Canis lupus familiaris: one gene and its partner. The protein of the gene in region 2 interacts with the protein of the main gene of each other region in a pairwise test. Links are inferred from orthologs where the notes say so. Each region holds a gene or a part of one and is shown on either strand. Other genes may lie near its edges.

What was found.
Region 1: the proteins of IL16 (region 2) and GABPB1 interact in binary tests that used the Homo sapiens proteins (3 or more experiments, as listed by UniProt). The two-hybrid records come from large-scale screens. The link is inferred for Canis lupus familiaris from reciprocal best matches to the Homo sapiens genes IL16 and GABPB1.

Annotation. Positions count from the first base shown.
Region 1 is NC_049251.1:16,528,765-16,533,576, reverse strand, and holds the end of GABPB1 (GA-binding protein subunit beta-1), read left to right. Parts: intron 1-2,268; coding exon 2,269-2,421; 3' UTR 2,422-3,778; downstream 3,779-4,812.
Region 2 is NC_049224.1:57,050,603-57,056,428, reverse strand, and holds the start of IL16 (pro-interleukin-16), read left to right. Parts: upstream 1-2,433; 5' UTR 2,434-2,887; coding exon 2,888-2,927; intron 2,928-5,826. UniProt on the Homo sapiens protein: Interleukin-16 stimulates a migratory response in CD4+ lymphocytes, monocytes, and eosinophils. Primes CD4+ T-cells for IL-2 and IL-15 responsiveness. Also induces T-lymphocyte expression of interleukin 2 receptor. Ligand for CD4.

The DNA.
Region 1 (4,812 bases), on a different chromosome or scaffold from region 2:
GGATTGGCATTTCTATTTAAATATAAATCTCAAGTGTCAGTCTGTGCACTATTCATGTATGAAACAACCAAATTACTGTTTATGTTAAGGAAATGTCTTGCATATGGTATATGTTCAGTAAACATTTTAACAAATAAATTTGTAAACAAAGGATCTCTGAGTAAAATAAGAAGTGATATTTTCCACTTTTTAGAGATTTTTATTTTTTTTTTTGAAAATCAGATGGCAAGAAGATTCTCTCCCCAAACACCTATATTCTTGAGAAGTAAAAAATGTAAACACTTAAAAAAAACCTTTAGTAATGTTAACTATGCCTTCAATCTTGAGGATTAAATGTACTCAAGGAGTAGTGCTTAAGGACTTTTATCTTTCAGATTTACAGATACAGTCAAGAAATGCAGTGTAACCTGAATCTTTTATTTGGCCTAGTATGCAGAAGGGAACTGTCTTTTCATTTATATGAAGATATATTCTAATTGAAATAAAAATATGCAATAAGGAAAACAAACTGTATTTCCTGTTAGATTACCTCAGTTTGCTTTCATCTTCTGAGTAATTGTGAATCCCTTGCTGTTTCTAAATGTTAATGAATAGCTAGTATGACGAGATATCTTAGAGAATGTGTTCCAATATTTCTTACCAAATTCAAAACTTTCCTTACCAAAAGATCTTATTTCTTAACACATGTAAAATTTTAAAACACTTATGCATGGGCATGAGTACTCCAGAGGTGGCAATCTAGCTCCCGGAGAAGCAGCACCCCTCTCCTACCTTTTCCATTGGTGTGCTCAAAGTCCTCCATAGTTCACTGCCAAGGTAGTGGTGTTGATTGTTTACCTGAGGCTCGACTCCTGGGTGTCCTTTCTGACTCGTTCCTACTCGGCCATCTTGCCTGGAGTAAGGGTAAGAAGTGGGTAAAAAATGGGTAGGTAGCAGGGTAAGATGTGGGCATTTCTTAAATTGGAGATGAAGGATGCATACATTTCTTGTACATTTTATGTAAATGGAAGACTTGGAGACTACATGTGTAATCAGTCATCCCCACATTTGGTGGATCCAGGGGAAAAATATATGTTGGATTTAGCTTTATTCCCAATATGGGGAAGGGAACAGGATCAAAGAAGGAAGGAGTATTATATTTGCTCCTCCTTGGAGACCATGTGAATAGTGAAAGGGAGGGAATCTTTTGGTGTTCACAATGGACGAGTTGAGGAAGCAGTGGAAGAGACCTCCTTACTGTCCTCTTCCCCAGTACGCCCCTCACCTTCAGTTTCCTCTGGTCAAGTGTCCTGTCCAGTGTGAATCTGGCATCTCTTAGGATCAATAATGGTCCCACCCTGAGTCCCCCACCCATCCCACTAAGAGGTCCCAGGCCTCTTAATGAAGTTGAGCTTAGGCCTGTGCAGGTTGAGCTTTTGTCCATGTACTAGAGATGTGAGAAAGGAGTCTTTGCAATTTTTTCCCTTAGGCAACTGAATAGGGGCAGAGTGAGGAGGAGAAAAGGGTGTCATTTTTATTGGACTAGACTTGTGTTTAGCTCCTACTTTATTGAGGAATTTAATACATATATTTTATATTTGTATAATTTAATGAATCACAGTAGAGAAATTAGTATTTTATTGGTTTGTAAAATAGGATAATTTAGAAAACACTAATCTAGACCAACAACACTCTTCATTTTAGAGATGAGGAATCCTGCTTGTTACCAGAGGGGAAGATAGTATTAAAAGCAGTAGTATTACAATCTCATAAACCCAGTTGTGTTATCATGGAAAAGCTATGTCGTCTGGAAGCATTGTTTTCCTCATCTGTAAAATGGGCATCATCACTGTCTTAGAGGCTTGTTATTGGAAATCACCTTATTTACTCACATGATGAGTACTCAATAAGTGTTAACTGTTTTATAATTTATTATACCTGTACATCAAAACATCACAGAGATGTGAAGAGGTAATATTTCTCTCTTAAAGCTCTTCACTAGTCTTTATCATACATATAAAAGCACAAGTCCACAATCTGGGTTCATTATGTTAATCTTATTTTTAATTAGGGAATGATTCCTTGAGGTCAGAAACTAATCTATGTCATAGCGTGGAACACAAAATTTGGAGCTTTAATTATCAGTGAATTGGTAGGGCAAGATGTCTCGCAAATATCAACAGGTGGCTACATCTAGCTCCTACAGATTTTTCTGCTTGAAGGATGCATGCTTGTATGTGTTAATCATGTATTCATGCAAAAATTGAAAAAACCTTTTTTTTTAATTAGGAGAGAGAAGCTCTTCAGAAACAGCTGGATGAAGCAAATCGAGAAGCACAAAAATACCGACAGCAGCTTCTAAAGAAAGAGCAGGAAGCAGAGGCCTACAGACAAAAATTAGAAGCTATGACTCGTCTTCAGACTAATAAAGAAGCTGTGTAGTTGAAATGAACACATAATTTGAATTTACTTTTGGTTAAGAAAGAACACAGTCTTGAACTGTACACAGCAAGGTGCAGTCGCCGGAAGCCAGGATAACAGAAGAGACTACAGATCGATGATCGGACTTAAGCCATGAGCTCTGAATTCTTGTAACATAAAACTTTACTTTAGAAGTTGTGAAATGTATTTAAAACTGAATTCTGTAAATAGTTTTTGTTTTTTTACAGTTCCAAATGAGTTATAAAGATTGTTGAAGAGATCCAAAAACACAATAAGCCACTGTTTTTGTGAATTCTTTTTGATTTTAGTATGAACCTTAATTTCTCAGACACAGAACAGTTTTAAGGGTGATCGTTGTTGATTAGACCAAACGTTATGTAATAATTATGTGGTGGACTGATGCTGGAATTACTCCTGTAGGTATAAACTTCTATATGAAGAGAAGATTTCTCCCAGGAAATCTTTGTACAGCTTTAAGTTGTCTCAGATTCTCTGAAAACATTTTTTAGAAAGCAAATTTTTATATTTGTTCAATTTCAGCTATACCCAAGTAGATTTACATGTATATGAAGCAAATATTTTTTAAAATTTCTGTTTGTACATATTCTGCATGTTTTATAATTTCAAAATGCATCACTTGCATAGGTATTTTTCCCACACAGATGATGAAAGTTAACTAGGGGGAAAAAAATCCTTTTATTCGGTAGGTCATTGAAAGTTAAGTAAGCTAGCAGCTGGTTTTATTGGAATGACAATGTTCTTAGAAGGAGCAGCTTACAAGATAACTTGAATTTGCAAACTGCAAAATCTATTCTTTTTTGAAAATTTCATAGTGGGGATGTGAAACTGTATTCTGTGCCTTCCATCATGATTTCCACATGAAAGCACTTTAAGGCACTGAATTTTAAGATAATGTTTTGGAATACTCAGAGTATATGGGTTTCTGAAATATTTCATGGACTCATTTCCCCCAAGAAATTATTCTTATGGAAAAAAATGCTTTTGTATGTAGAACAAGAAATTTTGTACTACGGTGATGCTATAGATATGTCTAACATAACTTTTACTTTTCCCTGTGAAAGCTGTATGTCTGTGCTGTGACTTGCTCTCATCACAATATTGTTGAATTCCACATTAATGTATGGACATTAAACTCTGACATACTGTTCATTCTTTTTTTGTAAAACAGAACTTCAAACTCTTTTTTTCTTGCTTTGTTTTTTAATGTCTTTTTGCTTTATGAAAATGTTTAACCCTAAGACCCTTCTAGATTACCATCTGTATAAAGAAGCAATTACCCTTAAAACTGTACTCTGGCCTACTTTTCTATTTTACAATTAAATATCTTTTCCACATATGTTCAGTGTAGACTTATATTTTGACCACACATTAAAAATGTTGTTCTGTATATACAGCCATATCCCACCAGAATGAAAATATATGTTCCTCACACTGTGTCTTAAAAATCCTTGAGGTAATTTCTTGGGAATCTGCTAGCTCTTTCACTGGCATTATTATAGTTGTTAAGGTGATAAAAGGATCTGTGAATTTAGGAAGGTTTGAGAACAAATATTAGAATTCCAGAAAGGAGAGAAAAAGACCTTTTCAGTTTTTCACTAAATTTGACATATATTTTAAATGATCTAAAGCTAGGCCATATTTTCAGTAACATGGAGCTACTTTTTCTATGTTTTTTATTGCTTTAGTGCATTTATGAGTTTTTTAGGCAGAGTGCCTTTGACATATGCAGTTTTGGAGTGAAGGACCAATATGCTTACCCCAGAGTGCAAGCCACTTTAGACTTTGCTTCCTGGCCAGATTAGCCCCAAAGAGCCCTGAGACAGTGTTGGAAATGAACCCCTGAAAGCTAAATTAATTCATTCTTTGACTCCTAGTATCCTGTTGTGCTAGAGACTTTACCTGGTTACAAGAAGGAATTTTGATTTATAGTAACATTTGACATAGATGGGAACAAATAATTGGTACTTAAAATGTGTAAGTCTATGATCGCATCAGGTAAATACTCAGATGTCTTTGGGAGTTCACTTTTTTCCAGAGTGTTATTGTTGGACTTGGATATTCTCAGTCATCTATACCTGATTCAGTGTGCCGCAAAATCAATAGACAAGAATCTATAACAAATTTAAAATGTTTTTTTTTTTCTTTTTAGCTTCTATTTTTAGGTGGGCTGGAAAAGCTTTGCATTCTTATTCTCAATGGTGTTTTGAGCAGATTAAAGGAACTGACAAAATAAAATAAAAGTTTTCAGAAGTCCGTACTTAATGTGTTTCCCCTACCTGATGATGGTTTTATAGTTAAATATCATTTGGTTATTACATTGATGGTTCATTCTTTCTACTGTTGTGTGAACAAACACCTTTTAGAGTAGCC
Region 2 (5,826 bases):
CTCATGGCTGCATCTGTGCCTCATGGTTGCATCTGTGGCTCATGGCTGCATTCATGGCTCGTGGCTGCACCTGTGGCTCGTGGCTGCATCTGTGCCTTGTGGCTGGCTTTGTGGCTTGTGGCTGCATTTGTGGCTCGTGGCTGCATTCGTGGCTCATGACTGCATTCATGACTCATGGCTGCATTCGTGGTTCATGGCTGCATCTGAGCCTCATGGCTGCATCTGTGCCTCATGGCTACATCCGTGGCTCGTGGCTGCATCCGTGGCTCGTGGCTGCATCTGTGGCTCATGGCCCCATCCTCTGTCATCAAAGCTGGCACTGTGGCTTCTCAAACTCTGACCCCCTCTTCTGCCTCCCCCTCTCACATTCATAGACCCTTCTGATTACATGGGTCTCACCTGGGTAATCCAGGATAATCCCTTTATCTTAAAGTCAGCTGATCAGCAAGTTCATTTCCATCTTCAACCTTAACTCCCCTCCAAGCACCATAACACATTCAAAGATTCCTCCTACAGGATGTGGACCTTTTATGTAGGGGTCAATAATCTGCCTACCACTCCGAATAAAAACTCCTTTGTCAAAGGCTTAATTCATATGATCAAAAGCCATGACTTTCAAAATTATAGTCCTCACTATCAACTTGACAAAATCTATTTAGGACTAAGTTCTAAAGCCAGTGACTCAATTAAAAAATTATTTTTTAAAGTGAAATTATTATTATTATTATTATTATTATTATTATTATTATTTTAAAAAGATTTTATTTATTTATTTATGAGCGACACAGAGAGAGAGAGAGAGGCAGAGACACAGGCAGAGAGAGAAGCAGGCTCTATGCAGGGAGCCCAATGCAGGACTTGATCTTGAGTCTCCAGGATCAGGCCCTGGGCTGAAGGCGGCACTAAACTGTTGGGCCTCCCAGGCTGCCCAGAAAAATTATTTTTAATTAAAAATTTTCTACCGTGCTCTAGGTGGTATGAATGGAAAGGTATAGCTGCTCCCTGAATTGTGGGGGTATCAGCATGGACACTGGGAAGTTCGTAGAGGAAAACACCCATAATTTTACTTCTCCAAATTTAATCTTTCACATCTATAGAGCATACACTCTGCAGTTCGCACCCTATTCTTTTCATGAGGCAATATAATGCAGACATCTTTCTATGATAGTAAAGCTTACTTTATCGCATCATTTTAATTTCTGCAAAGCGTTCCCTGTTTACGTAGCCCTGTCTCTCTGTGTTGCTATGGCCGCGTCCTGCTAGGAGGCAAAGCCAGGTTCTGGTCCCCGCGGTGCTGGTGACAGAGCCCCGGTGTCCTGCAGCTTCGGGACCTGGGCTATTGCTTGGTTGCTCAGGGCCAGGTAGGGCGGGCAGCGGGGCCACGCCAGCCCGGATCCCAACCCTCATCCCAGGATGGGGATGACTGTCAGGGAGCTGTTCCTACTCCAGGTGCTGACAGCAGAGGTTTTTCTGGCAACCTGTGGCACTGGTCTGAAGAATGATTATTTATGGGAAAACGTGGGGCGTATGTGTTGGTAGAGGGACCATCGTGACCTGGGCGTGGTTTGAGCACAGCGGTCGTAACTCGGGAGCCTTTGACTCCAAGGACCTGAGCCGTGGTGGCCTTGACCCTGGTCCAGGGGCTGTCGGTGGTGGTGGCCATGGCTGGGGCCTAACCTGGGAAGACTGGGGGCTCTTGGCAGGTGACAGGTAACTCCGGACCTGGACCAGGTCTGTGTCGCTTGCTTCCCTGGTGGGTTTTTCTCCCTATCTGATTGATCAGGCTTTCCTTTCAGTCCAATCATCTATGTCTGCGTTCCCAAAACCATCACATTCTTCCCCAGCTTCCAGCTCTGACTCTTTGCCCACTTATTGTATATTCTTTTGGTCTTTTCGGTGGGGAATCCAAGGATTTATATAACCCGGCAATCAAGTCGGTCACTTAAAATAATAGTACATCTTGTCCAAGTCTAAAAATAAAATCTCCTGGTATGAGAAGGCAAACAGGGGAAATTGGGTACAGTGGGCAGAAAACATTTTTACAGCTCAGTTAGCCAGGGCTCGTGCCCACTTTTCTTTTATGCTTGCTTGTCCCGACTCGGGCGGGAGTCAGAGTGCCTTCTGTTTGTTCTGATGAAAGGCAGCCTCCACCTTCCCCGGAGCCCAACTGCCCTTCTGGGGACACAGGCTGCATTCACCACCAGCCGCTCTGCCCAAGCCCTTAGCAGATTTTATGAAAGGCGTTTTCACTTGGATTAAACAGGCGCTGTGTTTGTGTGTGGTGTGTGTGTGTGTGTGTGTGAAGGAGAAAATGAATCACTTCAACTTTGGGCAGAGATTTTAGGTGTTGTGTTTGTCCCTTGCAATTACATAAACACACCAGAACTCATTTAAAAAAAGAAGAAAAAAAAAAGTTGGGAGGTGGGGAGCCGAGTCCAGTGCTTGGGATGATCTAAACCGTTTAGCACATTTTCCATACATTCGACCTCAGAGAGGGTTGTGTTCAGTCCGCTCCCAACAGAGTCTGAGTCCAAAGGAAAGTTTGAGGTTTTACATTTCTGTTTGTGGTACAGGAAAAGGCTTATGATCTGAGGGCTTGATTCAGTGAAATAACATTGCCTTCATGAACATTTGCTTCGCAAGAAAGGCAGGGGTTGGAAGCAACCGTTGTGAGACTTTAAAGATTTGCTGGCAGAGGGAAAGGGATTTTTTTCCCTCCCTCCCTGCCGGGGGGAAAACCAGTTCTAACGAGGAGCTACTTCGGAGTTTTAACTCCTATTCAAATATTCCTTGCCCAGGAGCTGCCGGTGATCCCCGGGACTTCTCAATCTGGCTGGGGCTCTGAGGGGCTTTTTGGCTCAGCCCCATCCTCAAAGCCCTGCACGGCATGAGTTTGCAGAAGAGAATCTTCCCTCGGAGGGAGAATGGTGAGTGCAGCTTCTTCTCGGGGGCTCCCGGGGAGCTGGGGATGGAGGGCTTGCCTCTTCTTGACATCCTCCCGGAGGGGTATGGAAAAGCATGATTTTGATAATGCCATAGAGTGTGTGTGTGTGTGTGTGTGTGTGTGTGTGTGTTTGTGCGCGTGCGCGCTCGCCCGTGTGTGTGCACGTGTGGTGCAGCAGGACACATCTCTGTCTGTCTGCATTGTCCTTGTAGAGCTGCCTGTGTGCTCTCTAGGCTGGTTGGCAGAGAGGTGACGGGTGAGGGCAGGTCCCCCGAGGGGATGAGAACAGCCGGGGCAGTTGGCTTTTATGAGCCCTCGCTTCCTCTGTGAGTGTGGCTCTCAATGAGCAGGGGCAGGGACATCAGTAGATAAATGGGCAGTTGTCAGGGTCCCCACTCGCTGAGCTCTGGTCCCAGCAGGAAACAGGACAGGAGAGGGAGCTGCTTGGTGTCTGGGGAGAATGGAGCAGGGGACCATCTGAGCCTTGCAGAGCTGGGCATGGGGAGGGCAGAGGTGAGGCTGGGAGGGGCCTGAGTCTCCCGGCCAGACTCCCTGCCTTCTTGCAGGGACAGCCCAGTAGATCCGAGATCATTTCTTTAGCCGACCTCCTTTTGCTCTGGAAACACAAATAAACAGGCACCAGGGAGGGTTTTAACCCCTCTGCCCAACGTTTAAAGTTAACACTGGCAAAGCTTCAGCCCTGTTGTAACTTTGGCATCAGAGAGTAAACACATGGTTTTCTTTAAAAAGGGGGAATGAGACAAGTCAAAGGCACACTCTGAGTGTTCCAGCTCCAGGGAGATATGGACGATAGAGCCAGAGCCCAGAGGCCAATTGGTTAGGTTGCATCAAAGCATCTCTGAAGTCTGAAGGAGGGCAGTGGGACGTGGGGACCAAGAACCAGGCTGTGGGGTCCAGCCACCCGGGATGCGGTCTTGGCGCTGTGATGCACAGGCTAGTTGGTTTGGGGGAAGGCATTCAACCTCTCCAAGGCTCGGTTTCCTCCTCTGCAAAATGGATATTGTGAGTTCATTCCTACCTCTTGGGACTATAGAAGCAATCACGGAGATCACACATGGAGATGGCCAGAGCATCGTATGAGTGACACCCAGAATAGGGCAGCTCCTGTACATGCTCCTGCCCTATGGGACCATGGCAGCCCTCACAGAGCACTCAGGGCTTGGGGATGGAGGGAGCCCTCCATGGCCAGGCAGCCATGCACCCTCTCTCTTGCAGCCAGGGGGTCTAGCATTTGGAATGTCTCCCTTTGGCTATGGACCACATGGGTGCATTTACTGGGGAGTCGTCAAGGGCTGGGATTGATCTGGTATTCAGTAGGTGCTCAATATTTGGTGAAACCATTTTGTTTCTGGGGAGGCCTTGCCGCTTCGTGTCCCTGGCCACATTGCCATGAGTGGTTGGGTTTTCTGGTAAGCCTCTGAGACAGCAATTCGTGTAGGAAGGTCATTGGAGAGTGTGTCTGGGGACACCATCTGTGTGTCCTTCTCCCAGAAGGAGATGCTGGGCAGGATGCAGCTATGATCCAGCTGATCCCATGGGTTTTGTACACCTGCAATGACCCATCATGTCTGTGGGCTGCCCTAGGATCAGGGCACAGCCTGGGGCAAGGCAGCTGTCTTCAGCAGAGGGTCATTCTTGGAAAGAGATTCTGACTGTTACAAGTGGCTCTTCATCAGCTGTGGAAATAAGTACCTCGGTCCTGGGTCTGGGAGCTAATCTGGGAGACACCCTATAATGTCACTTAATAGTGATGAGTAAGTCCCATTCTCTGAGTTCAGCTGTAGGATAATTGAGGGTTAAATGCACAGACACCTGTCCAGTTAGATCCTTACAGTGCAACGTGACCTGGGGAAGCCCATTTCTGTACCAGGGGGCTCACTGTCCTTGTCTAGAAGGTGGGTGAAGGCTGGTGGAGGAGAATTGCCTCTAAGAAGGCTTCTAGTCCTGCCATCTCACAGATACACATTCTGAGCACATGACGTAGCGCTCGCTTGTCTACCCAACCGGCGGTCACATGATGTCCTCTGCAGGTGCCTCCTTTCCTTCAGCTGGAAATGGAATCCCAGGACCGGGGGACCCTTGTGCCTCTCCATGACTGGCGTGGGCAGGGAGGGTTTGCAGAGGGAGGCTCTGTGTGGGGCTGGAGCATCAGGAGTGGGGTCTGTGATCAAGGGAGAAGTAAAGCCATCTGAGGGACCGCCATGCTTCTTTGATAGTTGAGAGCTACGTGGTGTCACCCAAGACAAGTGTGGATGTACTGAGTCTACCTTATTGCCCTCCCCACCCTACCACCCATTTCCTATTTCTGTTTCAAGCTGCAAAGAATGAAGTCACTTTCTCAAGCATTTAGAACTCATTTTCAGCCATTTATTTAGAACATTCTAGGCTGGGATGCCTGGGTGGCTCAGGTTGTGATCTCAGGGTCCTGGGATTAAGTTCCATATTGGGCTTCCCACAGAGACCCTACTTCTCCCTCTGTCTGTGTCTCTGCCTCTCTCTCTCTGTGTCTCTCATAAATAAATACATAATAAAATCTTTAAAAAAAAAGAACATTCTAGGTTGCAGGCACTAGGCTGGGTTCTGGAGATCTAATGGGTGTCACGAGCCTGGCTGTTTACGCAGATGTGTGTAAATCTATAGAGAAAGAGGGTTAGGTGCATTGGGGTGCTCTGATGGGGAACTAACCCAGTGGGTCAGGGGGGCTTCCCTGCAGGGGTGTTGTTTGAGCTGTTTTCTGAAGGATGTGCAGGAATTGGGTGGGGGTAGGGGTGGGAAAGCAAGCTTTAGGTAAAGGGAACAGAACCTCATAGGGCAGGGATGAGAAAAAAGAACTACCTCAAATCTCACCAGCTTATGAGCCA